Linked DNA regions of Canis lupus familiaris. The protein of the gene in region 1 purifies or fractionates together with the protein of each later gene. This does not show direct contact. Links are inferred from orthologs where the notes say so. Each region holds a gene or a part of one and is shown in the gene's direction. Other genes may lie near its edges. The genes, in order: ANKRD28, PPP6C, ARHGEF2, PPP6R3, PPP6R2, PPP6R1 and AP2M1.

Region 1 (4,002 bases):
TTGATGGAAGTTATTTTGGATTGGTACATGCTTTCATTGAACAGTTGGTGAACATGCTGGCTTATTGCACCAGAGTGCTATGTTTTTTTTTGTTTGTTTTTTGTTTTTTAATTTTTTTTATTTATTTATGATAGTCACACAGAGAGAGAGAGAGGCAGAGACATAGGCAGAGGGAGAAGCAGGCTCCATGCACCGGGAGCCCGACGTGGGATTCGATCCCGGGTCTCCAGGATCGCGCCCTGGGCCAAAGGCAGGCGCTAAACCGCTGCGCCACCCAGGGATCCCCACCAGAGTGCTATGTTAAACATGTAGTCAGACAGGAGTTACAGAGCACCTACTTTATGCAAGATCTATTCTACCATATGATTTTGTGATGTTGTAAATATGTGAAAATGCAAAATTATGTAACCATGTCATTATATGACTTGGTACTGCTGTATTTCAGTTTCACAACTCTATACGAGAATTAGCAAATCAGTATTTATCTTAAATATCTAAGACTGTGGTATACTGGAAGAAATCCTAGCTAAGTATTTTTTTTCACACCCAGTAGGCCTCTTTTATATGATTACATTCATTTCACTTGGTCTGTTTTAATAGAGTGATTTTTAAGGACATATTTTAATATGGGTCTTGGACTTCTATTCCTTTAGGAAACTTGCATTTTCCTAAAGGTAACACCAGCTGTTGCTCCAAAGTAGCCTTTCAGAAACTATTAGATATTCAAGCAGGACTCAAAACCAAAAAATTTTTAAATGGATTAAAATTCCTAGTAAATGTGTATATATAAACTGCTATATGTTGGGACACATAGGTGGCTCAGTGGTTGAGCCTCTGCCTTTGGCTCAGGTTAGGATCCTGGGATCAAGTCCTGCATCGGGCTCCCTGTAGGGAGCCTGCTTCTCCCTCTGCCTATGTCTCTGCCTCTCTCTGTGTCTCTTATGAATAAATAAATAAAATCTTTCAAAAAGCAAAACAACCAAAAAACTACTATATGTTCAGAATTATGTCAAAATGCAATCATTTTCTATTATCTTATTCTGAAAAAAATGAAGTTTATATATCATTCTGCAACTTGAAAAATTATGTTGTAACCACAGATCATTTGCAGAGGTGATTTATAAAGCTTTCATGGAGTGGTGCACACTTAATTGGTCAGTATTGAATCAAGACGCTAGCCAGGGATCCCTGGGTGGCGCAGTGGTTTAGCGCCTGCCTTTGGCCCAGGGCGCGATCCTGGAGACCCGGGATCGAATCCCACGTCAGGCTCCTGGTGCATGGAGCCTGCTTCTCCCTCTGCCTGTGTCTCTGCCTCTCTCTCTCTCTCACTGTGTGCTTATCATAAATAAATAAAAAAAAAAAAAAAAAAAAAAAGACGCTAGCCAGTCCCTCAGTGGCTGACCAATGTCAGATAGTCTGTACATCTCATCTGCTGGAAAAGCTAGCTGCTACAGGTTATTATTGATGCCCACCTATATAATAAATGCAAACCTGGTTTTATAGATACCTTTTAAATTTGGAGATTGTTATGGAGCACTTTATTCATAAGTCATGAAGAGGACATTGCGATTTTTTTTTTCCAAAAGGGAAAAAAAGTTTTCTCCTATATTGGCATTAGACATGATGTTTTAGGTATTGAGTTTAGAAAACACAAAACTCCTCAGGAGCTACTATGTACTGAGTACACATGGGTCCATTAAGAAGTGCCGGGACAAACAGTTTCCTTCATGCATCCCCAAGTGAGATGCTTCAGTGACAGCTGTTACTGATCACTATGAGAGCTGCTGGCAAAGTTTAGCATATATATAGGAGTGATTTTGTTTTAATTAATAACTATTAGAATTAAATATAGCTGTTAGAAGGTACTGTGGCATATTAGGGCACCTAGCTTGCTTTCATTATTTTGTCTTCTTTTAATTAGGAAGAACAGTGATAGATATTCCTTTCTTCATCATTATGTGACTTACTACTTTAAACTTCAAATTTTATTGTATTATGGGAAGGATCTGAATTTTGCAGGGGATTAACTTACCTTAAAAGCTTACTGTTTTCTTTAGGCTACTTCTGTTTTATACCTTTGCCCATTTTTTATGTGTTTGGACATATAAATGCCATCTTTAGGTAGATCATTTCTTCTTATTATACATGTTATCAGTTGAGATTCTTTCATAGTACCCAACTAAAAGGTAGCTTAAATGACAAGTGTTTACCCTCTCACATAAGATGTTCAGAGGTAGAGTCAGCTCCACGATTGATTGATTAAGCAATGGTGTCAGAACACTCTGTTCTTTTGCCTTTTCAGTCATGGCACAGAATGAGAAGGATTGGTCATTATCGGGGATAAACATATTTCCCACAAGCCCTCAAACTTCTTAGCATCTCAGTGGCCAGAACTGGACCAGCACTCATCTTAAAACCAGTCACTGGCAAAGAACAGAATTGTGATGGACTTATCTAATCACAGTTTCATCCCTTGGCTGAAGGCAGGCCACCTTCCCTTGATCACTCTGCCACCCCCAGAAAGCCAAATAAAATGAGCATTCTATTAGCAGGGCAGATGGCCGTAATTTACCATGAGGAATTTATATCTATTCAGTTTCACCAACAAAGGCAATAGAAACCTTTGTATGTATGTATTTTTTCTTTGACTATTAAATTCAATGAAACTATCCCACAGTTATATCTAGAAAATGTGCCCTAAGATGGAAATTTTCTATTTTACCATTGTAATTTCTGAAATATTAAAATATCACTTTTCAGCAACAAATGGTCATTCAGAGTGCTTGAGGCTACTTATAGGAAATGCAGAACCACAGAATGCAGTAGACATTCAAGATGGAAACGGACAGTAAGTTTTAATAATTTTTAAATTAATTTTAAGATGTGTGTTAATCTTCATACTTTTGCCTCTATTCTAGTAAGTCTCTTATGGTATGTAACTGAATAATAGCAAGTTTAGTTTTCCCATTTAAGTATACTTTAAAGTTGCATTACAAAAAGGCATGTTTAGAAAACGGGCCAGCACAACTGTTTGTTTTTCATAAAGTGGAGTCTTAGGTAGTAACACTGAACCTATTCTGTTGTTGCTCAGGACTCCTTTGATGCTCTCTGTTCTCAATGGGCACACAGACTGTGTTTACTCATTGCTGAACAAAGGAGCAAATGTAGATGCCAAAGATAAATGGGGAAGGACAGCATTGCATAGAGGGGTAAGTAAAAATATTCTCATTGCCTTTCAAAAATTTCTTAGGATCTCATTTTGCCTAAAACTGAACTAGGCTATGTTTATGTTTCTTCATCAGATTTTTACCAAATAGTTTTTGAATAATAATTTTAAACTACTGAAACACAACTTAATCCAGGAAACAGTACTGTTGGAACAAAATTTGAAAACCCTAAGTAAGACCTTGAGTAGAATTAATGTCAGTTTTACTTTTTCTCAGTATCACAACTGTTTTCTTTTTTTTTGTTTTTTGTTTTCTTATACATTTTTGCCTTTCACCTTTGAAACCTTTCACCTTTTTCTTTTTTATTTTCACAGATTTATAAGTTCTTTATTCCTGTTTTTCATAATACTTGTATTTTGACAAAGTTACTGCTCATGGGTTTTTAAGCCAATTCCAATAAAAATACTGAATTATTCAAAAAATGATAAATACTTCGACGGACAAATATGAGGAATACAGGCTTAAATTTTTTTTTAATTAGCTAAAATTGGCAGATAGTACCCAAGATAATATATTCAACTACTTGCAAATGCTTTTTCTTTCAGGCAGTTACAGGCCATGAAGAATGTGTAGATGCATTACTTCAACATGGTGCTAAGTGCTTATTTCGAGATAGCAGGGGCCGGACACCTATACACTTGTCAGCTGCCTGCGGACATATTGGTGTTCTTGGAGCCCTTTTGCAGTCAGCAGCATCTGTGGATGCAAATCCAGCCATAGCAGACAATCATGGATATACAGCACTTCACTGGGCTTGCTACAACGGTTGAGTATA
Region 2 (4,581 bases), on another chromosome or scaffold:
TTTTAAAATGAGTTACACATATTACTCCTCTGCTCAAAACCCTGCAGTAGCTTCCTATTAGATTAAAAGTAAAATTTCATGTCCTTTCCTCTTACTCAACCACACTAATCTTGTCATTTCCAAAATTCCATCTAGAGGATGTGAGGGCCATCTGGCTGCGACATCTGTCACCCCATTGATCGCCAGGGTTGATTCAGCTGATCTGGCTGGCTAGGCGGGTGTCCCCTTCCTCCCTCACCGCTCCATATGTGTCCCTCCCGAGAAGCTGTGCGCTCGGTGGAAGAGGACGACCATCCCTGGTAGAGGAGGACTGTTCTTCGGTCAAGGGTATACCAGTAGCTGCACTCCCCTGCTAGAACCTCCCAACAAAATTCCATCTAGATATGCCTCCATATGTAATTGCCCTGAAGCATCTGAATGGCTAACTCCTCTACCTCTCTGTTGGTTCTTAGAAATGCATCACCCCATCTCCCTTACACTGCTGCTTTTTTCCTTCTCTCTAGCACTTATCATTTCCTAATAAATACAGTTATTTATTATGTTCTGCTCCTCTTCTAGAATGTAGTTACCAATTGAGGATAGGGATCTTTGTCTATTTTGCTTGCTAAATATCCTAAATGGGGATCCCTGGGTGGCGCAGCGGTTTAGCGCCTGCCTTTGGCCCAGGGCGTGATCCTGGAGACCCAGGATCGAATCCCACGTCAGGCTCCTGGTGCACGGAGCCTGCTTCTTCCTCTGCCTGTGTCTCTGCCTGTCTCTCTCACTGTGTGCCTATCATAAATAAATAAAATAAAAAAAAAATTTAAAAAATAAAAAATAAAAAATAAATATCCTAAATGCCTACAACTGTACCTGGCATACAATTGGTGTTCAAGAAATAGCTGTTCAATGAATGTTGAAGTTACACTAAGTGCCAGGTCCTGGGTTTTTTGCACTAAGGGTAGAACAAAAGACTCCCTGTCCTCATGAGACTCACACTGAAGCATGTTTAAACCAGGTAGACCAGTCTCTACTCCCCTACCTAGCTCCTGTGAGTTTTGGGGCAAGTTGCTTAAGCTTTCTGAACCTTGCTTTCTTATCAACTGTTATGAGGATTAAACGGAAAAAAACAGCATTTATATGGCATTTAGCATAAGAAATCCTTAATCATTGTTTCCCTTCCCTTCCATGCTGAAAGACTGGTACCTGATGTCTCTGCCACAAGCATAGGCAAGGTTTTCACAAGGACTTGAAAAGATGCAAACAGGTTAACTACGGCCAGGCTTACCAATTGTTAAATGAAGATGTTCTGGTGAGAGAATGCTTAAAAGGGTCGAAGTGAGAAACCAAGGAATGGCTTCGGTCACCTACTTTGTCTTTTTGCATCGGAAAAGGTTCGCTGGGCCCACAGAAGTGAAGGTCTAAACGAAGGGGGGCGAGGGGGAGAGAAAAAGTGGGGTAGCTGGCCACTACTGAAAACTACAAATCCCAGTACTCCCCGCGGCAGAAAACTACGGGTCCCCGCAGGTTTCACTGTCCGGACCAGGGACGTCTCTAGGGACTTGCAGCCGGGGTTCCGCGGGAGAGAGCGTGGGGCAAGGAGAGGCAGCGGGGAGAAGCGGGTCAAGTTTGACGCCGCTGCGCAGACGCCTCTCACGGACCGGACGTGACGTAAGAAGAGTTCCGGCTTCGGCCTCCGCCGCTGCCGCCGCCGCCGCTACTAGAGCCTCAGCCGCTGCCGCTGCCGCCGTCGGGGCTTGTTATTTCTAAAATGGCGCCCCTAGACTTGGACAAGTATGTGGAGATAGCGCGGTTGTGCAAGTACCTACCGGAGAACGACCTGAAGGTGAGCCCGGCCGGGGCGGGAGCGCTGCTTGCGGGCTCGCCCCTTCCGGCAGTGGGGCGCCCGCCGGCCGGCCCTTCCTCTCTCCGCGGGACCCCCGCCGGCATCCCGTCGCGGCGGTCGCCTAACGAGGGGCCAAGTGACCGGATCCGACCGGGCGTCACGCGGCGAGCGGGGAGCCCGAGTGCCCCGAGTGCTGTCCTGGTGCCCTCGGTGGGGATCCCCGGGGGTGCGCGGCCTCTGCCCAAGGGTTGCGCCTCCTGGCCTCGGGCTACCCCAGGGCTCCGAGCCCTGACAGCTCTGCTAGGAGGACTTCTCTCCCGTCACCCTGACGCCGGTTTCTCGGAGCCCGACCGAGCCCTCACGGACAGTACTGTCGGAATGGGGTCAGCCCCCAGAGGTGGTGACAGGAGCGCGGGGTGGCGGGCGCCTGACAGGAGATACCGGCCCCGGTGTGTTTAGGTCCCTGCGGAAGGCGAAGACGGCGGTGGGCCAGAGCTGCCTGGCAGTGACGTCAGAGAACGTCAGGTCGTCCCTCTTTCCGTACCCCTTGTCCCAGGTGCTCGTCAGGAGTGTTGCTTGACTTGGGGTTAATTCAGATGTGAACCGGTTTTCCTGTCCGTTGTTGATCCAGTTTCAGTGGAAAAAGTAGTAGGCCCTCCGTACTTTTCTGCCCCCTTAAGTTGTTTGCTCATAATCTCTTATTAACCGAAGGTTTCCTTTTCTTCGTTTCCCAAAGGACAGGACGAGTTGTTCCTTGCTTCTGCCTAGGCCAAGTTACAGCAGATGCATGTGTGAGTAAAGGAATGGACGTAAGAGAAAGGGAACGTGTATACTCCTTTTCTGAGAAGTGTTTGTATGCACAGTGCTTAGGTGTGTGACAGTGTTCAGAGGTTAGTGCTAGTGCCTGTTTCGCTTTTTCAGTTAACTTTGATTTACTCTGTGTTAAGTGGGTAAACTGTTGGTAGTTTTGAGTTCTTTTTTTTTTTTTTGGTTTTGCCCCCTTTCATCTGTGGATTTACAGCGATTTATCTTTGCAAATTGTTTTAAGGAAGAGATTTATTTTGTTCTGTTCACACAGAAGTTGATATTTGACATCAGTCAACAGGTATATGCAAAATGTTTAAGGTCACATCAGCTCTCATGGATGTGACTTAATTGTACTTACATGTTAATTATAGGTGCTATGTGATAGGGGAGTCATTCTTGTGCATTTCTCCCTTTTTAATACGATACTTTGATTAAAATAAGGACAAAGCCAGGGGATCCCTGGGTGGCGCAGCGGTTTGGCGCCTGCCTTTGGCCCAGGGCACGATCCTGGGGACCCGGGATCAAATCCCATGTCGGGCTCCCAGTGCATGGAGCCTGCTTCTCCCTCTGCCTGTGTCTCTGCCTCTCTCTCTCACTGTGTGCCTATCATAAATAAATTAAAAAAAAAAAAAAAAAAAAAGGACAAAGCCAGTACTAGCAACGTAGCTTTTATTTATGCTCATCTGAGTCCACATTAGTTTTGTGGCTTCCTTCCGTTCTATGCTTTTTTGAGGAAATGAGGATATAACCAACACTGGGACCTAATTCATGGAAAACTAACCACCTGTCCTTTGGTAGCATTGTTAATTCCATGTATCACATTGATTTTCTTGTATCAGTGATTTGATGTAGAATTTTCTGTTTTTTAGTACATGTAAAGCTGTTTTTAGGCTTTGTGTTTTTAATTAATAAAATGTTGATTATTATAGTATGTCTTGATATTAACTTGAGATTGGCTATTGAAATGATTTGGAAGATAATTAGTTGGATTTTCTTTAGATCTTGTAGCTTGATAAACTTTGAATTTCCTTCCCACCTTAAGGAAATATAGTTATTAAACCATTTCATTTCCCTTTGCAACACTATTGGACTGTACTTATGTATTTCTGTTTCTTAATAACTCCCCACCCCCCATCTTCTGGACAATTAATGGGAAAAAAGGATTCTGAATTTTTCTCTGTAAGTGAAGGCTCTTCTTTGTCTTGGAAATGGTTTTATCAGATTAATTTAGTTGTGCTGTTCATGTCTGGTATATTTTTAAACAAATTTAATTTTATTTCTACTTCTTGGCATGAAATAGAAACTAAAATTAGATAAGCCAAGAAAGTATTCCAGGAGCACCTTTTCTGAGGCTTTAGAGCCAAAATAAAAGATTCTGTCAGAGGAAGAAAAATAATTGGGGCCACTTAATGGTCATGATGGAAAAGATTTGTTCTGGTAGAAAAGAATACAGCAATTTGCCTGTGTTTTTAATTTGACTAAAAATTGGAGGTACTAAATAAAATAATAAGTACATCGGGTGTTTTATATTTAATTACAATTTCTCTATATCTAGATTGGAAGTGGTCGAATCATTAGTACGTCATTGAATCTGCATAACTTTTGTAGGAATAAAGTTGAAATACATGAAAGTGAGTAGGCCAAAGCATAACCTTCCTTAAAAAAAAAAAAAAAAAAAAAAAAAAAAACTCAGGGACGCCTGAGTGGCTCAGTGGTTGAGTGTCTGCCTTCAGCCCAGGGTGTGATCCTGGAGTCTCAGGATCGAGTCCCACATCGGGTTCCCTTCGTGGAGCCTGCTTCTCCTCCCTCTGCCTATGTCTCTGCCTCTCTCTGTGTCTCTCGTGAATAAATAAATTCTAAAAAATAAAAAAAAGCTCAGGTGGTTCTCATCCACAATAAAGATTTCAGAGAGGATCTTGGGAGATAGAAATTTCATATCTGGTCAGGTG
Region 3 (4,002 bases), on another chromosome or scaffold:
GACAGCCAGAGAGGGCCCAGTGGCAGATAGGCAGGACGGGAGCATGGAAGGATGAGCAGGACAGATGGAAGGACAGGGAGGATGAGGAGGATGGACAGGACAGAAGGACAGACAGGATGGGAGGATGGGCAGGACAGACAGAAGGACAGGGAGGACAAGGAGGACAGAGAGGACAGGCAGGACAGACAGAAGGATGGGCAGGACAGAAGGACAGGCAGCATGGAGATGAGAGAAAAGAGCAGTGGGGGTGTGTGTGGGGAGTCACACTTGCCCAGCCCCTGTCCCCAGACCACCCTGGCTGCAGCTTTCCTCCCTAAAGTGAGACACAGGGAATAGCCTGCTTTGGGTGTGAGGAGTGCTGGCTACAGCAGGCCTGTACCCCGGGACTGAGCCTGCCCCCCCCCCCCCCACCGCTGTGTCCCTGTTGTGAAATCCCCCTTTACAGGCTGGGGGATGGCGGTGCCTACCGGCGCCTTCCTTCATCCCCTTCTCTTTTCTGTTCCTCCCACACAGCAACTAAGAATATAAACCATGGGGGTTAAAAATAGCAGGGCTGGAGAGCTTTATTTCTGAAGCATTTAGTGAAAGCCCTCCCCTCTATGTGCCCACAGTTGAGTGAGATATCCAAGGGCAAAGGGTGAGCCTGTGTTTTCTTGGCTGTGCCATCTGAGTTTTAGGGACTTGACCTTTGTCAAGTTAAAGTGTGGGACTCAGGATTGGAGCGGCTGGAAGGGGGTGCAGAAGACAGCCAAGGTGCCTCTGGGGTCTGAGAAGACAGGAGGGGTGGATAAGCCTGCCTGTCTCCTGCCTCCTGAGCCCTGGCATTGCAGGGGGCCAGGGGATTTTAGGTCAGACAGCCGAAAAGCTCTTATGTCAGTTGCTAGGCACAGAATTGAAAGGGTGGCTCCTCCCGCTGCGGGAATACATTTTACTCTCATGAAAATTCTGGACCCTTTCACCCAGAAAAGCGCATGTGTGCGTTACAATAATATGTAAAATTGCTTCTGCAACTTCAGAAGGTTTGCAGAGCCCTTGAAGCCCAGCAGTGGACATACTAGGGGTCTGTAGGCCCCAGGTTAAGAAATTGGCATCCGCTGGGCAAAGAGGATTTCCTTCAGATGCATGGGTGTCCCTCTGCAGCTTCTCTAGCCGAGAAGCTCTTTGGTCTGGTAGCACACGGATCTTTTCCCCTGGCATTTCTGAGCTGTAAGAATGGGCAGGTGGAGGCCACAGAGGTAAGAGGAAGCACCTGGAGAGAAGAGAGGCCGGGAAGGGGCTCCTCAGGAGCCATGAACGGACAGGTTACGCCTGGACCCTGAGAAAGAGGTGGGCAGCTGCCCAGACCTCTGCTGCTGACCATTCTCCCACTTGTCCCCTCGGCCAGATGTGCTCATGCTCCTGATGACAGACGTGCTGGTATTTCTCCAGGAGAAGGACCAGAAGTACATCTTTCCTGCCCTGGTGAGATCTTCCTCCTTCTCCTTTCCTGGCATGGACAAGCATCACAGCCTCTTCTTGCTTTTCTCCCCAAGCTGGAAGGAACCCTAGAATCCTCCAGAGTCAAATGGCTATTGTGACCATTGCTATAATATCATAAGGAATAGAAGTAGCTAACAGGTTATTATGACTGTGAGGAGGGCCTCTTAGGATCCCTCCTTATAGATGAGGAGAGGAAACCTTAAAGGGTTTTTTTTTATGTGGTTTTTTTTTTTTGTTGTTGTTGTTTTGTTAGTACTCTCTACATTCAATGTTTGGCTTGAACCCACAACCCTGAAGTAGCCGCATGCTCCCCCAACTCAACCAGCCAAGTTCCCTGGTAAACCTTAATGTTAATTAACCCACCAGAGGTCACATGCACTCCTAAGTCCCCTCTGGCTACACCAAAACCAGGGACTCTAAATTTATATTGCTGGCTGGCTCTTCAGTCCTTCAGGTACTCTGGCAAGACTGAAGACCCTGAGATCCCAGGGTCAGGTTCCCAGGCTGAGTCCTTCCATTCTGACTTGCAGGACAAGCCCTCAGTGGTATCACTGCAGAATCTGATTGTACGGGACATCGCCAACCAGGAGAAAGGGATGTTTCTGATCAGTGCGGCGCCCCCTGAGATGTATGAGGTCCACACCGCATCTCGGGATGACCGGAGCACCTGGATCCGGGTCATTCAGCAGAGTGTGCGCGTGTGAGTGTGTGTATGGCCTCAGGGAGTCTGCAGCCAGGCCACAGCAGGCTCCGGGGAAAGAGCCTGGGGTTCGGAGCAGGAGGCAGAGGCTGGGGGAGAGAAGCACAGTGTCCTGAGGCAAGGGCCATCGTATCCTGGATGGTCAGACATACCGTGACAACCCCGAGCATCTTTCAGGAGCCTGAGCTGGCAAGCAGAGGGGTACCCTGAGCTGTCACATGGGGGCACACCTGCCAGCCAACAGGACAGTATCAGGCACAGAAACATCTCAGTCTGGAGGCAGTGGGCTATTATTTGGATTGTATTGCATTTTACCTTTATTTTCTAAAAATGGATGAAAGAGGGAATGAGGCATTGACACTAGAGCCAAACCTCACCCAGTTGAGACAAGAAGTAAACTGTTCAGTCTGCCAAGGCAGTGGACTTTGAGCTTCTGTGGGATGTGCATAAGCTTTGAGGCCATTGACTATGTGTCTCTTGTGATTAAAAAAACAAACAAACAAACAAAAAACAACGGAAAAAAACGCATGTAAAACATTCAAAATGGATTTTTGAAGATTATGCAAAAAAAAAAATGAACTCAGTCAGGATATTTGTAATTTTTTTTAGCTTTTAGAAATGGATTTTCTCCACTCTGTAATGTGTAAACTTTTTTATATTTCTGCAACTTAGACTTTTGGACAGATTTTTCAGAAATTCATACAAAAGTATGACATTGCCTGTTGTAGGAAAACAGTGCAAAATACCTGTTCCATTGACAATGGATCCATGGTGGCCTCTCTGAACAGTATTAATATTTGTAATTGTGAAAATCATAATTCATATTCTTTGTCATCGATTTATTGAGCTTCTGCCATGCTTGAAGCATTGTTACATTTCTTTATTTAATTCTAACAAAAAAAAAACAGTGAAGAGAAAAAATGTCATACCCATTTTTCAGATGAGAAATAGACAAGCTGCCACCTGGTAAATGGCAGGACCAGGATTTGGGCCAGTCTGCTTCACGCCAAAGCCTGTAGTGCCCATCTGCACGGTGCTACCCCTGCAGGTGGCCCATGGAAGGGTGCATAGTCCACTAGAATATGATAGGGGTCAGGAGTGAAGTCAGGGCATGGGGCTAGAGAGTCTTATAGGGAAGCACAGAGCGTGTTTGGGGGAAGGAGGCTGATTCCTGATCCCTCAACCCCACCCTACTTGTTACCCCTCTAGATGCCCATCCAGAGAGGACTTCCCCCTGATTGAGACAGAGGACGAGGCTTACCTGCGCCGAATCAAGAGTGAGTCCACCCCCAGAGCTGGTTAAGTAATTTATAATACACCCACGAGATGGAATACTGTGGAACTGTTTGTTTGTTTGTTTATTTATTTATTTATTTATTAAAGATTTTATTTATTTATTCATGAAAGACACAGAGAGAGAGGCAGAGACACAGGCAGAGGGAGAAGCAGGCTCCACTCAGGGAGAAGCCCGATGTGGGACTCGATCCCGGGACTCCAGGATCACGCCCTGGGCCAAAGGCAGGTGCTAAACCACTGAGCCACCCAGGGATTCCCCTGTGGAACTGTTTAGAAAGCTCATGAGGGCTAATGCAGATCCATAACCAGAATGTATTGTTGAGTAAAAAGAGCAAGGTTTAAAACAATGTAGAGTATATGCTAACTCTGGTGTAAAAATAATGGGGATAGGTCTGTGTCACATGTGGTGTGTGTGTGTGTGTGTGTGTGTGTGTGTGTGTGTGTAGTATCTCCTGAAAAGGAGCTAGGAAGACCAGGGTTGAGACATTAATCTACTTTTTTTTTACTTTTATTAGAGTGTGAACTAA
Region 4 (4,002 bases), on another chromosome or scaffold:
GAAGAGCCGTGTGGGTTGACACTGGAGCTTTCCTCAAGGCTGACAGTGCTTCATGTTCCTGGGGAAGGCCTTTGTGTCCTTAGTCCTGGAGGCTAAAAGCTAGCTCTGGGCATCAAGTGGACCTCACTACTGCAGAGTTGGCCAGGACCTTAATATTAACCCAGCACAGCCCCATGGGACAGACCTGGAAAGCGAGAGCCATGGAGGAAAAGAGGTTTGGCCTCTCTCCTCATTGCTTTCCCAGCTCACCATCTTCAGGAGGAAAAAGTGGGCTTTTCTCTATTAATTCAGTTCGAGTCCACATGCCTTTATCGAGATCCAGCTATGTGCCAGATGTGGAACACAGACTCCATCTAGAGTCTAGAGTCTCCTGAAGAATGGAGAGATTGTGGTAGATTCTGGGGCGCTCCCCTGGGAAGGTCATTTCTGTGTAGCCTAGCATGGTGTGCAGTGAGAGCACATAAACAGACCCAATTTCACCTGAAAGGACACATCCCCGAGGAAGTGACGTTAAAACAGACCTACAGGTTAGATCCAACCTTGGTCAGCAGTTCGTGCCATGAGGCTGTTTTGATGGATAGAGGTGAACAGCCAGATGAAAGGAGAAGTAGGGATATGGTCAGGAAGGGTCCTGAGCATAGGATCTTCTGTTCTCATGGAGTTTGGGGTGTGCCACCTGCTGTTTACTAGCCCAGAAGCTCTAAACCCCTGAAATTTTGAGTTTTTTATGGAATCTTCATTAAATGGGTACTTTTGATCAAATAACTGGCCATTAGTGATTTTCTCCACTTCTGGCCCCTCTTCCCTCCTAGGAGGGTGGGCTATGGGATAGGGATAAAAGTTCTAGCCCTCTAACCCCAGGCTAGTTCTCCTGGCAGCCTGCCCAGTATTGAGCCCCATCTTGAGGCCACCAGTCATCTCTTTAGCATACAAGACACTACTTCAGAGATTCCAAGGGTTTGGAGGTGGTGGTGAGCTGAACACAAATATGTATTTTTTCTTGTGTCACCAGAAGTCTTCCTCTTTGTGTTAGCTACAGTGGACTGTGGGAAGGCCATTAAAAGTATGAAGTGGGGCCACATCTGGATTGAGATGCATTTAAAGTTTCCAGTTTATTACAGTTGAATATACAACATTCTGCTTAAAAAAATTTTTTTTTGGAATAACTTTGGATTTACAGAAAAGTTGCAGAGATTATACAGGGAGTTGGGGCTGTGTACCCTTCCTTCGCCCATCTTCCTCCTGGTGTTCATATAATCTTGGTACCTTTGTCCAAAGTAAGAAATTCTAATATTCTCAAAAAAAAAAGAAAAATTATAATATTCTTTTATATGTATCTTTGCATCCTCGTGTGATATTTCTGGTGGAGAAAAAAATCTTAGAAATGGGAATTAGGGATTAAAGGAAGTCTACAGTTTTATAATAAGATAGATGTTATCACATTGCCTGACACTGATTCTGCTGTTTCCACCTCTATCAGGGGTGTGTTAGAGTGCCCTGTCCCCACCACTCTGGCTGCCTCCTTGCAAATGTTTCTGAAAAATATCTTGGATTGCACTGAACTTCTGAAGTATTCTCAAAATGAGATTTCTGCTCTCTTTTTAGCACCCAACTGGTCAGCCAACTTTGATGTCCCCATGGAGACAACTCATGGTGCTCCCTTAGATTCCGTGGGTTCTGATGTCTGGAGCACAGAGGAGCCGGTGCCAACTAAGGAGACGGGCTGGGCCTCCTTCTCAGAGTTCACATCTTCCCTGAGGTGAGTGTGTGTGTGCTCGCTCCCTGAACCTTCCATAGGAGAACTGGGAAAGGGGACGGGGTCAGCTGCAGACATTGTCTCTCACCTTGATTTACTCCCTACATGAAGATAATGCTCTACGCTAAGTCACAAATCAGCACAGGGGAGCTAGCGACACAGTTATGGATTAACAAGGAAACTAGTCTCTATATTCCTTTTATCCAGGTGAGCTGGGAAAGGCAGTGGGCTGTGTACACATAGTAGCCCAGGAAGATAGGGCCCCAGGAGGTTATATAGTAGGGTGCAGACCATCAGAAAACAAACAGGATTGAGGAGGATAGAAACAGGATAGAGCGAGAGCTCCTGACAGGCACCTCTGTGTGGAGTGTTACAGAAGAATGCACAGTGTATCTTGAATTTAACAGATACTCTGAGCTTGCATTTCACTTGTAGCTAATCTGGTGCTGTAAATTACAGGGCGTGATAGGATGGCTGTCAGTCTTGTTATTTGTAGTATTTTTGTTGACAGCAACCTATCTTTTCATAATTTTCCTGAATAATATTGCCAGCATTTGAATATTAACCATGGATTTCATGTCTTACTAGGCTTAGTTTGATTTGCTAAACATTGTTTTGTCTCAACTACACATTTAAAAGACTTTGTTGCTCTCCGTGCTGTCATGGAGAGCAAAAAAGTGTGTTTTTTAACTAATCACTGGTAATAGGCAAGATGGGAGCGTGAACTATCACAAGCTCACGGTTACCATCTTCAACAGTCAGGGGGCTGGCTGACACCTGTGTGGCTTTACAGCAGTTTCAAGGATAGCAGGAAGCCATTGTCAGGGGCAAAAGTGAGGTTGTGGGAAATGTCTCCAAAGTATTTTAAGTTATTTCACTAACTCCACTCCAGCACTGAACAGTCGGGTTTCCACCTCTTGTTTTTTTTCTGTCTTTTGTAACTAGAGGATAAGACCCCCTGGTTACTTGGAAGCTTGCTGCCCTTTACCCCTTGTGCTCAGGTCATGTTTTCTTGTTAAATATCACTAAGGCCCTCAGGCAGTTTGGCTCAAGGTAAGTAGGGATTTTTGTAAAAATCACAGCAGGTACAGTTGATGGTGCACAGTGTCAGCCCCTGTTGTCCCAGCCCTTGGGACCGAGGGGGAGGATGAGAGACTGGTGCGTTTTGAACCTGTCTGCAAACCTCTGCGAAATCCCCATGCTCCTATCCTACTGACTTAGCAGAATATTTACCTGCCTGCGCTCACCTGCTCTGCAAGCAGCCCTCTGCACCTAGATCTATCTCTGTGTACTTGGAGTCTGTGACAGACTGCTCCTGTCACCCCAGCGAGCCTACAACTTTGAAAGGGTTTTTGTGAATGAATCATGGTAACTGAGGGCTATTTGCCACTGCTAACATCTGAATTTTCTCTTTTCTAAAAGTACAAAAGATTCTTTAAGGAGTAATTCTCCAGTGGAAATGGAAACCAGCACTGAGCCGATGGGCCCTCTGACTCCCAGCGTTGGCACGCTGGCTGCGCAGCCTGAAGGTGGGTGTGGAGAGCAGGGCACCAGCTGACCCAGCCTGCTGGCCTTTCACCTGACTGTTGTTCAGGCTTTGACTGTATGCTTAGTTTTCTAGATCTGAAGAGTTGCTTTTGTCTACATAACAGTTTATAAAGCTAGTCTTGATTCTTAGGCTCAAGGGCTCAAAGGGCTCAGGGAGTTGAGGTGGTAGGTCTGATGTCCTCAGGGCAACTGATAAATTGTGTATTCATTCCAGAACCATGGCATGGTGATTTTAGAAGGCATTAGGGACCTAAGTGGTCAGTTGTTCAGTCCTATCAATATACAGAAATGGAAACAGACCCAGAAAAGAAGAACATCTTTGCCTGCAATGCCCAGTGTGAATAAAATCAGAATTAGGCGTGTCAGTGTTTTCAAGCCTCGCTGGTACCAAGTTCTTTTGTCCTTTGGAATTTGCTTTGCTGGAGCATGCGTGTGTGTCTTAGCATGTTTCAGGCATAAGGCTGTTTCTTTTCTTTTTTTTTTTTTTAAGATCTTATTTATTTATTCATGAGAGAGAGAGAGAGAGAGGCAGAGACACAGGCAGAGGGAGAAGCAGGCTCCATGCAGGGAGCCCGATGTGGGACTCAATTCCGGGTCTCCAGGATAACGCCCTGGGCCAAAGGCAGCGCTAAAACGCCGAGCCACCGGGGCTGCCCTAGGCTATTTCTTTTCATTTCACCTTTATGAACAGTTGAAAT
Region 5 (4,002 bases), on another chromosome or scaffold:
TGGGCTCACGGGCTCAGGCTTGACAGAGGGTGTGGTGGGAAGTGGCTCTGCCCACTGTATGCCCACGAGCTGCCTTTGTAGCTGGGGGAGCATTTTACGTCTCCCTAACCCAGGGAGGAGTTTAAGACCTGCCCTCCTGCTGGGTCGGGGGTGTGACTGGGGAGACGTTGGACTCAAAGCTGTGTGCGATGGGAACGTGGATGGCAGCCAGGCTGTGGGCCTCAGGGTGCACGGAGCTCAGTCGGGGGCCGTGACTGGCTGGCTCCCAGCCGCCCCGGCCCCACCCACGTCTGTGTCCTGCCCGTGTTGTGCTCGGTCAGCCCCCATCAGCACAGAGCAGGGATGTCCTGCATTTTCGTCTAAGTCCTCTGCCCCACTGGGTGTTCCTTCGGGTCAGCCAGCCTGGGCGAAGCTGGGAGGGCCTCTGGAGCCGGACAGCTCAGGGGTGTCTGGGTGTGGGGCGAGGGGCACGGCGCTGAGGCCCCACGTGCCCTGCTGCTGGGGGCGGTGGCATCTGCCTCGTTAGCACTTCCTGGTGAGGTTGGAGTGATTGGCTGGCACACAGCAGGTGCTCTCCAAACAGAAGGGGCCCGCAGGTAAGGCTGCGAGGAAGGACCCACAGGGGGCAAAGGTCAGGCCCTGGGGATGCGTAGGGAGGAAAGGAGGAAAACCCAGTGGTCCCCTTGATGCTGCCACTCCCTTTCAGGGCAGCGGGTGGCATGAGGCGCGGCAACATGGGCCACCTTACCCGGATCGCCAACGCAGTGGTGCAGAATCTAGAGAGGGGCCCCATGCAGACCCACATCAGCGAGGTCATCCGAGGTGAGCCCTCCCTGCCCTCGTTGCCCTCCTGGCAGCAGGAGCCCTGTGGTGGGTGTTGCTGCTGCCTGTGACCCCTGACTGCCACCTTCTGCCCTTGAGCCCCCCCAGCAAGTGGTATCAGGACATGCTTTCCCAGGTGGGCCTGGGTCACGAGGTTGGTCCTCCTTGTGCCCAGAGACCCTGTCAGGCGCCTGCGGGGCAGCTCGTGGCTCCGGAGCCAGCACTGTGCTCTACCCAGGGACCCCGAGGCCTGCCTGGACGCCACCCCCCTCTGCCTCAAGCAGCTTTGCAGATCTTTCCAGCCAAGTCTGGGGAGCCGGGGGAGGTGGCCTCTGTGCTCCAAGAGGGGGCTGTGGGCCCTGAGCCGAGGCAGCCTCTCCTCTGGTTGGGCCTCACCTCTGCCCTCAGCCCGAGACACCTGCCACCCTCCCAGCCTGGGGCCAACACTCACCCCTCTTTCTGGCCCTCTCATGCCCTGGCCAAGGTCTACAGGCCTTGGGTGCCGGGCCTTGTGAGCTGAAGAGGGCCCAAGGGGGTCTTGGTTAGACCGGAAGGCAGGCAGCTGGGAGGGCCCGAGTGGCCCTGCCAGGGTGGACGATGCCTGGGCCAGCCTGAGCAGGGGGGTGGAGAGGCCCCGGAGCTCGCAGTGGGCAGATGGGGGGATGCACGAGTGAGCCGAGGAGGCGAAGGGTGGGCAGAAGCCAGGACCTCCCCAGGGCGCTGGGGCTGTGTTCACAGCAGCTTCACGATCAGGACCGTCCTCCTCAGCCCTGGGTGGGATCTTGTGCCCTGTGAATGGTGTTCACACAAGAGGCTGAGCCGCCTGGTGGGGTCCCTCCAGGGGTGTGGGGAGATGGTTGTGCAGGGCCCCAGTGCCCTGATCGTGGAGAGGGCACGGGCAGGTGCTCAGCCCATCTCCCATTGTGCAGCTGAGGAAGCCACACTGGAAGCCTCCAGGCTGGTTGTGCAGCAGGTGTAGACCTGTGGTCTTGGCTCACTGGCTGCCTGCCCCCCCGCCCCCAAGAGAGTCCTTGCTGTGGTCCCTCTGGCCAGAAGCTCTGGGTGGCCGTCCAGGATGGGAGCAAGGGGCTGTGCTCGGTCCATGGCCTCCAGGCTAGTGTCTGGCCCGAGGAGGCTCCCCACGGAGGGACAGTTTGGGGTGCGGGAGGTGAGCCAGCAGCTCTCTATCCTGGTGTCACGTCACTCAGCTGTGAACTTTCTAGAACACAGGTGCATGGGATGTACTGAGAGGGCTGGGGAGGGCGGAGGATGCGGCCAGGCTGCAGCCCCCGGTGCTGAGGTTGGGCCCCGCCCTGCGAGCGCCCCTGCGGGACCCCTGGCCGCCCTTCCAGCAGCCGCCCTGTGCACCCTGCTGCCGTCCCCTGGCTCCCCAGCACTGCTCCCTTGCAGGGCTCCCCGCGGACTGCCGAGGGCGCTGGGAGAACTTTGTGGAGGAGACCCTGGCGGAGACCAATCGCAGGAACGCTGTGGACCTGGTGAGGGGCTCGGCTGTGCTGCTGCTCGGTGTTGGCTGGCGCTGGGGCCACGCCCTCCTGGGTGCTTGTGGAGCGTGCGTGTGTGCGTGTGCACCCCTGTGGCCCAGCCAGGTGCAGTGGGTCCCTGGTTCCGCGTCCGGCTCCAGGTCCTGGGGCCCCTACCGCCTCAGCAGAGCGGGTGTCAGCCCCTCCCCTGACCCCTCAGGCGCCCTGCTGCGTCCTGGGGCTCCTGGTGCCCCAGGCCCAGTGTGTGCTACACCGCGGGGAGGGGCGGGGGTAGGAGCCCCCAGGCTACGGGGCTCACATCCACCCGCTCTGGCTGTTTCAGGTAAGCACCCACCACCTTCACCCCTCGAGTGAGGATGAGGACATGGAGGGCGCTTTCCCTAATGAGCTGTCCCTGCAGCAGGTGCGTGTGGCCGCTCTGCACACTCAGGCAGCCCTTTCCCGCCCTCGGCGGCACTCAGGCTCCAGGCCGTCCTGCCCAGCGCCTTGCTGAGCTGCAGCAGGAAGCAGCCCAGGGGAACGTGCTGGTCCCCACGCACCAGGCTCCAGCAGGGGAGGGGCCAGGTGTGCAGCCCCTTGAACGAGGGGGGGCCCGAGCCACCCAGTGGATGATCGTGAGACACACGAGGCTGTTTGGACACGACCCTGCGTTCGTGTTCCCCCGAGAGGTTAGGTTGGGAGAAGCCGCGAGGCACTGCTGCTTCCCTGGGAGCGGCCTCGGTCTGAGGCCTGCCCTGCGCCACCCCTGCCAGGCTTTCTCGGAGTACCAGGTCCAGCAGATGACGGCCACCTTCGTGGACCAGTTTGGCTTCAATGACGAGGAGTTTGCCGACCAGGATGACAGTGTCAAGTGAGCTCCCAGGATGTGCCCGGGGCACCGTGTCCCAGCTGCCCACCTTGGTCGGGAGCCCCATTTGGATCCGTCATCACTGCCCACTACCTTGTCCCCTGTCCATTTTGGGAGGAGCTGAGTCCTCGGTGTGGCCCTGTCCTGCCTGGGCCTGGAGGCCATTTGGCCACTTCCTGAGCTGAAAGCAAGTGTGACTCAGAGTCACTGTGGGAGGGGCCAAGCTGGGACACCTCCAGGAAGGCAAGTCATCACCGTGCAGACCAGGGACAGAGTGGGCCCAGGGAGGAGGGCAGGGGCCACCCCCTCCATCAAGGTCCCTGTCTGCTTGCACCACGTGGCCGCCTGCAGACACGTCCACCCCTGTGGGCCTGGCTCTTTTCCCTGCGAGGTGCAGCCGGGGGCACGCACAACAGTCCGTGGGGTGTCGCAGGCCCTGGCGGCTACGTGCTGAGTGCCCCCCGTGTATTGCAGTGCCCCCTTCGACAGGATTGCAGAGATCAATTTCAGCATCGATGCTGATGAGGACAGTGTGAGTCCCCAGCTCTGGGTGGGTGGTGAGTCCCCAGCTCTGGGTGGGTGGGCAGCCCGAGATACAGGGCTGCTTCATGCCTGGGCCCCGTCCTGAGCGCCCCCTGCCTGGCTGAGCCCCGCTGGGAGCCGCGTGTGATCACATGCGTGCTCATGCTTGCAGCCCAGTGCAGCTCTGTTTGAGGCTTGCTGCAGTGACCACATCCAGCCCTTTGACGATGACGAGGAAGATGACATCTGGGAGGACAAGGAGATGCATTGCATGGCCCGGGTGACGGCCAGAGCCAGGTGTGAGGCCCC
Region 6 (4,002 bases), on another chromosome or scaffold:
ATGGTGCCTGGTCTTGCTGTGTGGCCCCTGCGTCAGCACCGGGTGTTCCGTGTGTATCCATGCAGTGGAGTGCTGGTGCATGGACGAGTCACAGTAGCTTGTGTGCTCACCAGTTGGTAGACCTCGTGGTTGTTCCCTCCTTTGGCTACAGCAAATGGTGTGGAAACTTTCCTGGTTTCCCAGGTTCTCACCGTCTTCTTTCCTGATATTTGATGCCTTGTGTTCCTTGCCTTGGCACTTGTGTCTCCCTGTCTGTGTGATCCTCCACTCCTCTTCCTAAGGGTGGGGCGGTCAGCTCCAGGACATGAAGGGCACAGGTGCTGGGCTGGCATCCTCAGCTCTCTCTTTGCCTCCCCAGCAACATTCCAATGCATCCCAATCCCTGTGCGACATCATCCGCCTGAGCCGGGAGCAGATGATCCAGGTCCAAGACAGCCTAGAGCCCGACCAGCTGTTGACCACCCTGGAGAAGTGGGTTTGTGGTTCCAAGGCCTAGGGCGGGAAGATGTCCGGGGCCCTTCACCATGACCCCCACCCCGACCCCACCCTCATCCCCTGTCCCGACCCCTGCTCCAGGCAGGAGACGATTGAACAGCTCCTGAGCAACATGCTGGAGGGAGAGCAGAGCCAGTCTGTCATTGTGAGCGGGATCCAGGTGCTCCTGACCCTGCTGGAACCCCGAAGGCCAAGGTGAGGGGGCCCTGCCTCCCCAGGCAGCTATTGCCATCCCCCAGAGACCCTCTCCTTCTTTTTAGGGGTGAAGGTGTGGGGACTTGTCATCTACAAGCAGCATCCCCTTCTTGGTGGCCACTTAGGGTCTTTTTTTAAAGAATCTGGTTTTTTTTTTTTTTTTTTTTTTTTTTTTTTTTGTATTTTTAAAATATTTTATTTATTTATGAGAGAGAGAGAGAGGGGCAGAGACACAAGTAGAGGGAGAAGCAGGCTGTCCGCAGGAGCCCGATGTCCGATGTGGGACTCAATCCTGGACTCTGGGATCACACCCCAAGTCGGGCAGACGCTCAACCGCTGGGCCACCCAGGCATCCCACCACTTAGGGTCTTGGGAGAGGAGTTCTCAGTTCCTGTCTGAGGCCATGTAAACCACCTGTAGCTTTGAGCTGACTGGCCGAGTCCAGGGCCCTATAGGCCCATGATCCCTGGGCATCCCCCCCCCTCCCCCCGTGCACGCTGTACTTCCACAGGAAGCAGCTTGTCTCTCCCTTCCACATGTGCCATACATATGCATATGCGTGCACACAGGCCCTGCATCCTGTCCCCCCTGCAGGTCCGAGTCTGTGACCGTGAACAACTTCTTTAGCAGTGTGGATGGGCAGCTGGAGCTTCTGGCCCAGGCGACCCTGGATAGCAGCATGTCCAGTGTGGGCGCCCTGCACGCCCTGCGCCCACGGCTCAGCCGTTTCCACCAGCTTCTGCTTGAGCCCCCTGAGGTAGGCTGGGAGTCCAAGGATGTAGGGTGGCAGGGAGGGCAGCCCCACGGTTCTAGGTGGCACTGAGCCTCCCATGTGCCTGTAGCTGGAGCCACTGCGTACTACCTGGGGCAACCTGGCCCCGCCTCTGGGCAATACTCGGCTGCATGTGGTCAAGCTGCTGGCCAGCGCTCTGAGCGCCAACGACCCAGCCCTGACGCAGGAGCTCCTGGCACTGGATGTGCCCAACACCATGCTGGTGCGGAGAAGGGGGTGGGGTGGGGTGGGGTGGGGTGGAGGGCCCGGGCAGGGTGGGGAAGGGCGGGATGGGGATGAGGGGGTGGAGGGGGCCCTGGGCAGGGGTGGATGAGGGGCCTTTCCATGCCAGCCTCCACTGCCCGCCCCCCAGGACCTCTTCTTCCACTACATGTTCAACAACTTCCTGCATGCCCAAGTGGAGTTCTGTGTGAGTGCCATGCTCAGTGCTGGGCCTCCTTCCGACAGCAGCCTTGAGATGCCTGTCCCAAATCCCGTTGTGAAACATGTAAGCTGGGGTTCCCGGGTACCCCACTCTGTTCCTGTGGGTCACCCACTGTATCCCTCTGCCTTCTCTAGGTGGCCTCACATGCTGGGGGCCAGGGGCTCAGCCTTGTCCTTAGGTCTGTCTGGGAGAAATGGAGGATGATGTGCAGGCGGGTGCAGACGGGAGCCCTCAGGGGGCAGCAGTGTCCTCTGGGGTGACAGATGCTACTCTAGGGGAGGTACTTCCTGGGTTATAGCCTAGGGCCTTGGACATGGCCCCCACCCCCCCTCCCACTCCTCTGTAAATCCCCCTGGGTGCTGGGAGGGGCACGTCCTGGCCCTGCCCCCATGTCCCCGGTGCCCCCACTGTCTCCACTGCCCTCACAGCTCCTGCAGCAGTGCCGCCTGGTGGAGCGCATCCTGACATCCTGGGAAGAGAACGACCTTGTGCAGTGAGCGGCCCCTGGACTTCTTGCCCTTGGGGAGGGCGGGGCGGGGGCGCATGGGCCCATGTCCAGCTGCGGCCTCCGATCTTGCCCAGGTCTACCGGGGGCCCCCGCAAAGGCTACATGGGCCACCTGACGAGACTGGCCAACGCCCTGGTGCAGAACACGGAGAAGGGGCCCAATGCTGAGCAGCTGGGGCAGCTGCTGAAGGGTGAGGGTCCGGGAGGGTGTCGCCCCAGGGCTGGGGGCAGGGCTGCTGGCTGTAGTGGCGGGGGGCCTCACGTCCTGTCTCTTTTGCGCTGAACAGAACTGCCGGGTGAGCAGCAGGAGCGGTGGGAGGCCTTTGTGGCCGGACCCCTGGCCGAGACGAACAAGAAGAACATGGTGGACCTGGTAAGGCACCGCAGCTCTCTGCCGCGGTTCTGTTCTCCACCTGCACCTCCCTGAGGCTGCACCCTGCCATCCTGGCCCTCACCCCTTGCCTGCCCCCATGCCCCAGGTGAGCACGCACCACCTGCACTCCTCCAGCGATGATGAGGACGACCGGCTCAAGGAGTTCAACTTCCCCGAGGAGGCAGTACTGCAGCAGGTGGGCTGGGGGCCAGGGGCCTGCCCCTTTCTGCCTGGCCCCACCCATCCCTGACCACTGCTCCTCCACAGGCCTTCATGGACTTCCAGATGCAGCGCATGACCTCAGCCTTCATCGACCACTTTGGCTTCAATGATGAGGAGTTTGGGGAGCAGGAAGAAAGCGTGAAGTGAGTGTGCTCTTCTGTAGGCGAGCAGGGGTGAGAACACAGCAGGTGGGAGCACGAGTACTCGCTGGCCGTGTGGCACTTTCTGCCAGGCTTCCTGCGTCCTCCTTGGTCCCACCAGTCCTGGCACTTGGGCTCAGCATGGGGAGCGACCAGCTGGGGCTCCTCTGTCCCCTCCTTGGGGAGTCAGCTGCGTGTGTAGCTGGTGGGATGACCCCTTGATGCCAGAGCAGCCCCCAGCCCTCCACCAGGCCCTGTGCTTACAGGAGAACTTGAGCTTTCGGTGACTTCTACAGCTGCTTTGTTGAGCAATAGCAATTTAACTTGGTGTTGCAGTCATCAACTTTCTTCTTTAGTTACCAAGTTTTCTACCACAGGCATCTGTTCTTTTTGTAGTCAGAAAAAAAAAATAAGAGTTTTCTACCGTTTTGCAAATTGATGAGCAAGTTTATGGCAGCAAAGCTGGAGGGGAGCTCGGGTCGGGGTGGGAGCGAGGTTGGCCAGGAGGTGGTCTGGGAGGGAGCCCATCCTCTGTAAGGTCCCTGGAGGAAGTGCCATTGGAGTAGAAGGGGTGACTTTGAGGAAGGAGTTGGTAATGCCTTGAGGGAAAGTAGAGGGACCACTGGAGGGCGGGCAGGGGGTAGCCAAGGGGTGGGGTCCAGGGACAGGCAGGAGGAGCCTCAGCTGCCCCTTGGGGTCCCCATCTGCTTCATCCCCTGTGCGTTGGGTACATCTCGGGGGGTCTTCCTATTGTGTGTCTACCATCATCCTTGGCTCTGGGCTCGGAGTCTCTGGGGCAACTGAGACACATGCTGGTCGGTGTGGGAGCAGGATCGCCCCTGTGTGGCTCAGG
Region 7 (4,673 bases), on another chromosome or scaffold:
ACTTAAATTCTTCCCCAACTCTTACTAGTCAGCATATCATATCCATTCCACTTCAACAGTCTTTCTTGAATATGGTCCTTCTTCTCCCCCCGCCTCTACCCTAATTCATAGGAGCACGGGATTTGGAGTCAGGTTGTTCTGGGCTTGAATCCCAGCTCTACTACTTTTTGGTTTCGTGATAAGAGAGTTACTTAATCTCTCTGAGCCTCAATTCCCTCATATGTAAAATGATGATAATAATACCTACCTCACAGGGTTGTTGTGAGGATTTAAATTAGACTTGTACGAAAAGTGCCTAGCACAGTGCCTGGCACAGAGTAGAATAGGTGCTCAATAAATGGTAGCTATTATTATTACTACTACTACTATTATTATTTATTCTAAATTGGTAGGGTATTATTGATTGAAGATAAAGCTTTTGGAAAGGTAGCAGTGAAGATCTGAGTGCCGGTTCAAGATTTAGAAATGCCTGTATTCAGTCACTTAATGGATTCACATGGTGACCACTGTTTGAGGAAGGCCAGATCTTCATCCTGCCACATTCTGGCTTCTAGCAGGAGGATGCTGGGACAGTAGGGTTTGTAACCAGGTTTGCCCTTTTTTGCCCTTCCTCCCATGATGGGCTCAGCACCAGTGAAGGCATAAGGGAAGCTCTCCGTACAGAAAGAGAAGAGCTAACATTTTCTTCGGGTCCTGTAAAAGTCAAGCAGGGCTTTCATATCTGAGGGTTTGCTCTGTCTTTTCTTCTCAGCTTGGGTGTGAAGATTAACTCTGTTCATTAGAGAAGGGATTTCAAGTTCCATGTCCAGCTAAACTTGCCAGCAGTTTTTTAAGCAACATATATGCCATCACTAGAAGGCACACAGGTCCTGGCCTCAAGGGGTCACATAGGTATGTGTAGTTGGGATAGAACAGACATTCTTGAAAAGCTTTGGCTAGTTTCTTACAAGTATTTGCCTCCTCCATCTTTGCCCTTTTACTTGGGTCTTGATCCCTGGGAAGAGGCTCACATCTGGAACAAATATTTGATGAAAAGTCTTGGGAAAATCAGAGCTGGTGTTAGAAAGCAGTAAATTTAGTGCAAACACTTCTGCCAAGTCGTGTGTGTGTGTGTGTAAAGTGAGCACAGCCAGTGTTCGGACTCCAGAGACGGAAAAGGCCTACAGCAATCTCAAGCTTAACAGATGGGCTTCAACAAATGGCATTAATCCTCCGAAGCTCTCCTAGACGCTGAACAGGATGGATTGCAGACTACAATTCCCAGAATGCTCGGTAGGGAAAATGAAGCGAGTGGAGCGGAGTATGATGGGATGTGGCCACGCCTATCCCTCCCCAAGGCACGCCTAACCCGCTGAAGGCAGTCGGTAGTTGTAGTCTTCCTAAACCTAGAAAGGCTAAAATTGTAAGCTAGAAGGCCGAAGGGCCTGACGGGATTTGTAGTCGGCTCGGTCGCCGGACGCGCACGCGCAACTGTGTTCGGGGCGGGGCCACGGCACTGCGGTGAAAGCCGAGGCAGCGGGCTGGCGAGCAGGGGGCGGGCGGACATCTTGGGATCTGGAGAGTGGCCGGGCGGGCCGAGCAGGCGGCCGCGGACGCCAGGTAAGCTCGGAATCCGGCGGAGAGTAAGGGAGAACGCGTACCCCGCTACCCAGCTTTGCCCTTCCCTGCACTGCGCTGCGCGAAAAGCTGCCCACAGCCGGGAGGGGCCTCAGCCTTCTGATCTGGAGCTGACGGCGGGGCGGGGGCGCCCGGGGCGCGGTTGCAGGGTGGGCAGGGAGCGGCGCCCTCCACCGGCAGTCCGGCGCCTTCCGTGACAGGGAGACCTCCTGGGGTCCCCCCGGAGCCAGGATGCCGCGCGGCGCCCCCTTCCTCGGGATCGTGACAGCCCCCCTGGTGCCTTGGCGCCGCCTCCTCCCAGCGCAAGGACAATTCCCCCATCTCCTCGACGGTGACACCCCCTCGGGCCGTCTCCCTGGGCTGTGACAGGCCTCCCACCAGCCGCACCCCCTCCCCCCAGTTGAGTGACACCCCTCGGCTCTTCTTCCTCAGACCTGTGACAGCCCCCGCAGCCCCGTGGAGCCATGTTCATCCCCGCGATGTCTTGCTCCCCTAGACGAAGAGCCCACCCCCCGTCATGCCTCCACACTTGAACCCTAAAGCAAGTTAACGCCGCCCCAGCTTTCCCCTATTCGCCACTTGTCAGTCTCCTCCCTGCTGTTTCAAAGTCTTGACCTTTGCCACACTGGAAACTCCTTCCTCCAGATGTCCCCGTCCCCCCCCCCGCCCCCCAGCCCCCAGCCCCAGCCCTCTTGCTGCTGCAGGTTCACCTGACTAGACCGCCTGGCTCCTTCTGCCCGTCCTTCCCCTTAGCTCAGTATTCCCCTCCTGCCCTGGGCCCCACCTCCGCTCCTTCGGTGCCCTGCGGCCCCTACCACTTGATATCTGTGAACTTGCTTCTTTGCCCGGGGCTCTACCTCCCATTTTTCATTTCCTTTCCCAGCCTTTTTTGGGACTCTGGGGTGGAATGTGTCCACCACCACCTTGAGAGACCTCTCACTGAGTTGGGGAGACCCTGATGGCCTCAGTAATAGGGCTTTATTTTCCAGTTTAGAAAAGTCTGCTAAACTCCCTCTGCCCTGTAAAATCAATACCAGAGCTAATTCAGGAAATCTAGAATTAAATTAACCCTTTTTCTCCTTGCAAATATTTTGACCCAAATAATTTGGATAATGCACACCTATTCTCTGCCCCTTCCTTATAGGTACTCAGGCCAGAAATGAGTTATGTCATGGTTCTGGAATCATAGAATGTCAGCTGGATTGATCTTTGTGTTTTATAAACCTGTACTCCCACCCCCTTATTTTTACTGCACTTGGGAACTGAGAGGGATCCTCCCTTTTTGAAAGGGAGGTGGTTAAAAATAACTAATAAGCAGCTTGGGTCATTGAAGTGTAGTCGGCCAAGGCTGGGCCCTTTCTCCTCTGCTCTTTTGCCTGCTTATCTGACTGCCTGGGATTGGTTGGAGCCACACTCCAGGGTCTGTGTCAGGGCCTAAGGCCTCCCTTGTCTCCTCCCCACACCCTGCACACCCTTTCCTGGAATGTTTAGACTTCTGTGAATTAGAGAGCCACAGGTTCAGGCCCTGCTGTCTTCTCCGAAGGGTTAGTGGAGCCTGAGAGACCGGGTGCTCCTAAAGCCGTGCCTGGGGGCCCCAGGCCTGAACCAAGTGGAATAATTCCTACCGCCATTCCTGCAGCCGCAGGCAGGCCTTCCCAGTGACTCACCGGCTAGAGTCTGAGTGAGAGTCTGCACAGGAAGGGGCCAAAAAGGATCTGTGCTGAGCTCAGCACTGAAAAGAGGGGGAGGGGGCTACACTCTGGGCTCAGCCCCAGGAAAGGGAGGGTCAAAATGGCCTTAGAATCCTGGGCCCAAGTCCCTCTCCATTTCTTTCTCCTTTCCAGTGTGAGATAAACAGGAACTGGAGCCTGGCTAAGGGGAGGGGCATGCCTGGGGAGGGCTTCAGGGTCACTTACTGGAGGGTTGAGTCAGGAAAAAAAGCCCAGCCAGTGACCTGCACAGCCCCACAGGGGATGTTGGCAGAGGTTCTGAGGCCTTCCCTTACCCTGCCTCCGCCTGTCCTAGGTCTGTTCTCAGAGCGATGGGCCTTGGAGACTGAGCTGCCGCCATGATTGGAGGCTTATTCATCTATAATCACAAGGGGGAGGTGCTCATCTCCCGGGTCTACCGAGATGACATCGGGTGAGTCCCCTGGCTGAGCCAGCTGTGTCCCCACCCCTCATCCCTCCTCCCCAGCATGCAGGACCAGGTCCGTTCCTACCAGAGACTGGACTTTGGCCACCCCCATCCCTCGCTGCATCTTAGAAGCTCAGCTAATACAATCTGGTTCCCATTAGGTCTGGTGGTATTGGCCTGGCAGCCAGTTATTGGCCAATAGGTGGGACCTGTGGAATGGTGTGGCCCCCCACAGTCTTAGGAACTCTTGTCCTTCCTGCCTTCTCCTTTCCTTAGTGACAGACCTAGTTGCTAGAAATGAGTGCTTTTGCCCTGGTAGATGAATTCCTCCCTTGAGGAGGAGGGAGATCTTTCTCCAGGGGGTGAAGTTAGTGGACAGGCTAGTGGTACTAGTCCATCTAAGTCTTGCTCTCAAAAGCCCTTCTCACGGTGAGAGCCTTCACTGAATTCTCTTGAAAGCTTCTCCAGGCTGCCAAATCCTCTCCTACTCCCTTTCTCAGGAGGAGGCAGGCTGCTGACTCAGCTGTTTTCAGTTCCTCTGGGCCACTCCTAGAAGAGAGGTTGTGAGCAAGCTTGGGGCACTCTCCGGGTCACTGAAGGAAGGGCAGGGAGGCCATGCTGCCCTTCCTGGCCTACCAGAGTAGACCCGGAATAGCTCCTTGTTCTAGGTCCCTCAGACCTTAGCAAAGAGACACAGCCTGCCTTCTCACTCTGCCCCACACTGCATGCCACTATTCTTTCCTGAATGAGAGGACATGTCCTAGCCTCAGCAGCTCTAATGAGATTAGGCATCTCTGGTTCATGCTGCCCTGTTTTTCTTCCTCCAAGAGCTTAGGTTAAAGAGTTATAGGATGGGCCTGCTGCAGAGCCCAATAGCTTCTTGGCTCCCAGCTCCCTGGCTAGTGGGCTGGCCTGGCCTT

What was found.
Region 2: the proteins of ANKRD28 (region 1) and PPP6C purify together in Homo sapiens (affinity purification with mass spectrometry; 9 studies listed by BioGRID and IntAct, with this or other methods). This does not show direct contact. The link is inferred for Canis lupus familiaris from reciprocal best matches to the Homo sapiens genes ANKRD28 and PPP6C.
Region 3: the proteins of ANKRD28 (region 1) and ARHGEF2 purify together in Homo sapiens (affinity purification with mass spectrometry; 3 studies listed by BioGRID and IntAct, with this or other methods). This does not show direct contact. The link is inferred for Canis lupus familiaris from reciprocal best matches to the Homo sapiens genes ANKRD28 and ARHGEF2.
Region 4: the proteins of ANKRD28 (region 1) and PPP6R3 purify together in Homo sapiens (co-immunoprecipitation; 3 studies listed by BioGRID and IntAct, with this or other methods). This does not show direct contact. The link is inferred for Canis lupus familiaris from reciprocal best matches to the Homo sapiens genes ANKRD28 and PPP6R3.
Region 5: the proteins of ANKRD28 (region 1) and PPP6R2 purify together in Homo sapiens (co-immunoprecipitation; 4 studies listed by BioGRID and IntAct, counting the BioPlex papers as one, with this or other methods). This does not show direct contact. The link is inferred for Canis lupus familiaris from reciprocal best matches to the Homo sapiens genes ANKRD28 and PPP6R2.
Region 6: the proteins of ANKRD28 (region 1) and PPP6R1 purify together in Homo sapiens (co-immunoprecipitation; 4 studies listed by BioGRID and IntAct, with this or other methods). This does not show direct contact. The link is inferred for Canis lupus familiaris from reciprocal best matches to the Homo sapiens genes ANKRD28 and PPP6R1.
Region 7: the proteins of ANKRD28 (region 1) and AP2M1 purify together in Homo sapiens (affinity purification with mass spectrometry; 3 studies listed by BioGRID and IntAct, counting the BioPlex papers as one, with this or other methods). This does not show direct contact. The link is inferred for Canis lupus familiaris from reciprocal best matches to the Homo sapiens genes ANKRD28 and AP2M1.

What each region holds. Positions count from the first base shown.
Region 1 is NC_049244.1:27,505,236-27,509,237, forward strand, and holds part of ANKRD28 (serine/threonine-protein phosphatase 6 regulatory ankyrin repeat subunit A), read left to right. Parts: intron 1-2,760; coding exon 2,761-2,848; intron 2,849-3,091; coding exon 3,092-3,209; intron 3,210-3,772; coding exon 3,773-3,992; intron 3,993-4,002. UniProt on the Homo sapiens protein: Regulatory subunit of protein phosphatase 6 (PP6) that may be involved in the recognition of phosphoprotein substrates. Involved in the PP6-mediated dephosphorylation of NFKBIE opposing its degradation in response to TNF-alpha.
Region 2 is NC_049230.1:57,968,878-57,973,458, forward strand, and holds the start of PPP6C (serine/threonine-protein phosphatase 6 catalytic subunit), read left to right. Parts: upstream 1-1,566; 5' UTR 1,567-1,750; coding exon 1,751-1,825; intron 1,826-2,209; exon of another isoform or gene 2,210-2,437; intron 2,438-4,581.
Region 3 is NC_049228.1:41,826,837-41,830,838, forward strand, and holds part of ARHGEF2 (rho guanine nucleotide exchange factor 2), read left to right. Parts: intron 1-1,384; coding exon 1,385-1,461; intron 1,462-2,009; coding exon 2,010-2,179; intron 2,180-3,388; coding exon 3,389-3,456; intron 3,457-4,002. UniProt on the Homo sapiens protein: Activates Rho-GTPases by promoting the exchange of GDP for GTP.
Region 4 is NC_049239.1:49,801,422-49,805,423, reverse strand, and holds part of PPP6R3 (serine/threonine-protein phosphatase 6 regulatory subunit 3), read left to right. Parts: intron 1-1,605; coding exon 1,606-1,759; intron 1,760-3,178; coding exon 3,179-3,285; intron 3,286-4,002.
Region 5 is NC_049231.1:17,754,928-17,758,929, reverse strand, and holds part of PPP6R2 (serine/threonine-protein phosphatase 6 regulatory subunit 2), read left to right. Parts: intron 1-706; coding exon 707-822; intron 823-2,232; coding exon 2,233-2,318; intron 2,319-2,646; coding exon 2,647-2,727; intron 2,728-3,076; coding exon 3,077-3,174; intron 3,175-3,645; coding exon 3,646-3,703; intron 3,704-3,865; coding exon 3,866-3,990; intron 3,991-4,002. UniProt on the Homo sapiens protein: Regulatory subunit of protein phosphatase 6 (PP6). May function as a scaffolding PP6 subunit. Involved in the PP6-mediated dephosphorylation of NFKBIE opposing its degradation in response to TNF-alpha.
Region 6 is NC_049222.1:103,182,566-103,186,567, forward strand, and holds part of PPP6R1 (serine/threonine-protein phosphatase 6 regulatory subunit 1), read left to right. Parts: intron 1-358; coding exon 359-471; intron 472-576; coding exon 577-690; intron 691-1,284; coding exon 1,285-1,447; intron 1,448-1,532; coding exon 1,533-1,685; intron 1,686-1,835; coding exon 1,836-1,970; intron 1,971-2,335; coding exon 2,336-2,400; intron 2,401-2,489; coding exon 2,490-2,605; intron 2,606-2,701; coding exon 2,702-2,787; intron 2,788-2,893; coding exon 2,894-2,983; intron 2,984-3,054; coding exon 3,055-3,152; intron 3,153-4,002. UniProt on the Homo sapiens protein: Regulatory subunit of protein phosphatase 6 (PP6). May function as a scaffolding PP6 subunit. Involved in the PP6-mediated dephosphorylation of NFKBIE opposing its degradation in response to TNF-alpha.
Region 7 is NC_049255.1:17,241,355-17,246,027, forward strand, and holds the start of AP2M1 (AP-2 complex subunit mu), read left to right. Parts: upstream 1-1,480; 5' UTR 1,481-1,599; intron 1,600-3,642; 5' UTR 3,643-3,685; coding exon 3,686-3,759; intron 3,760-4,673.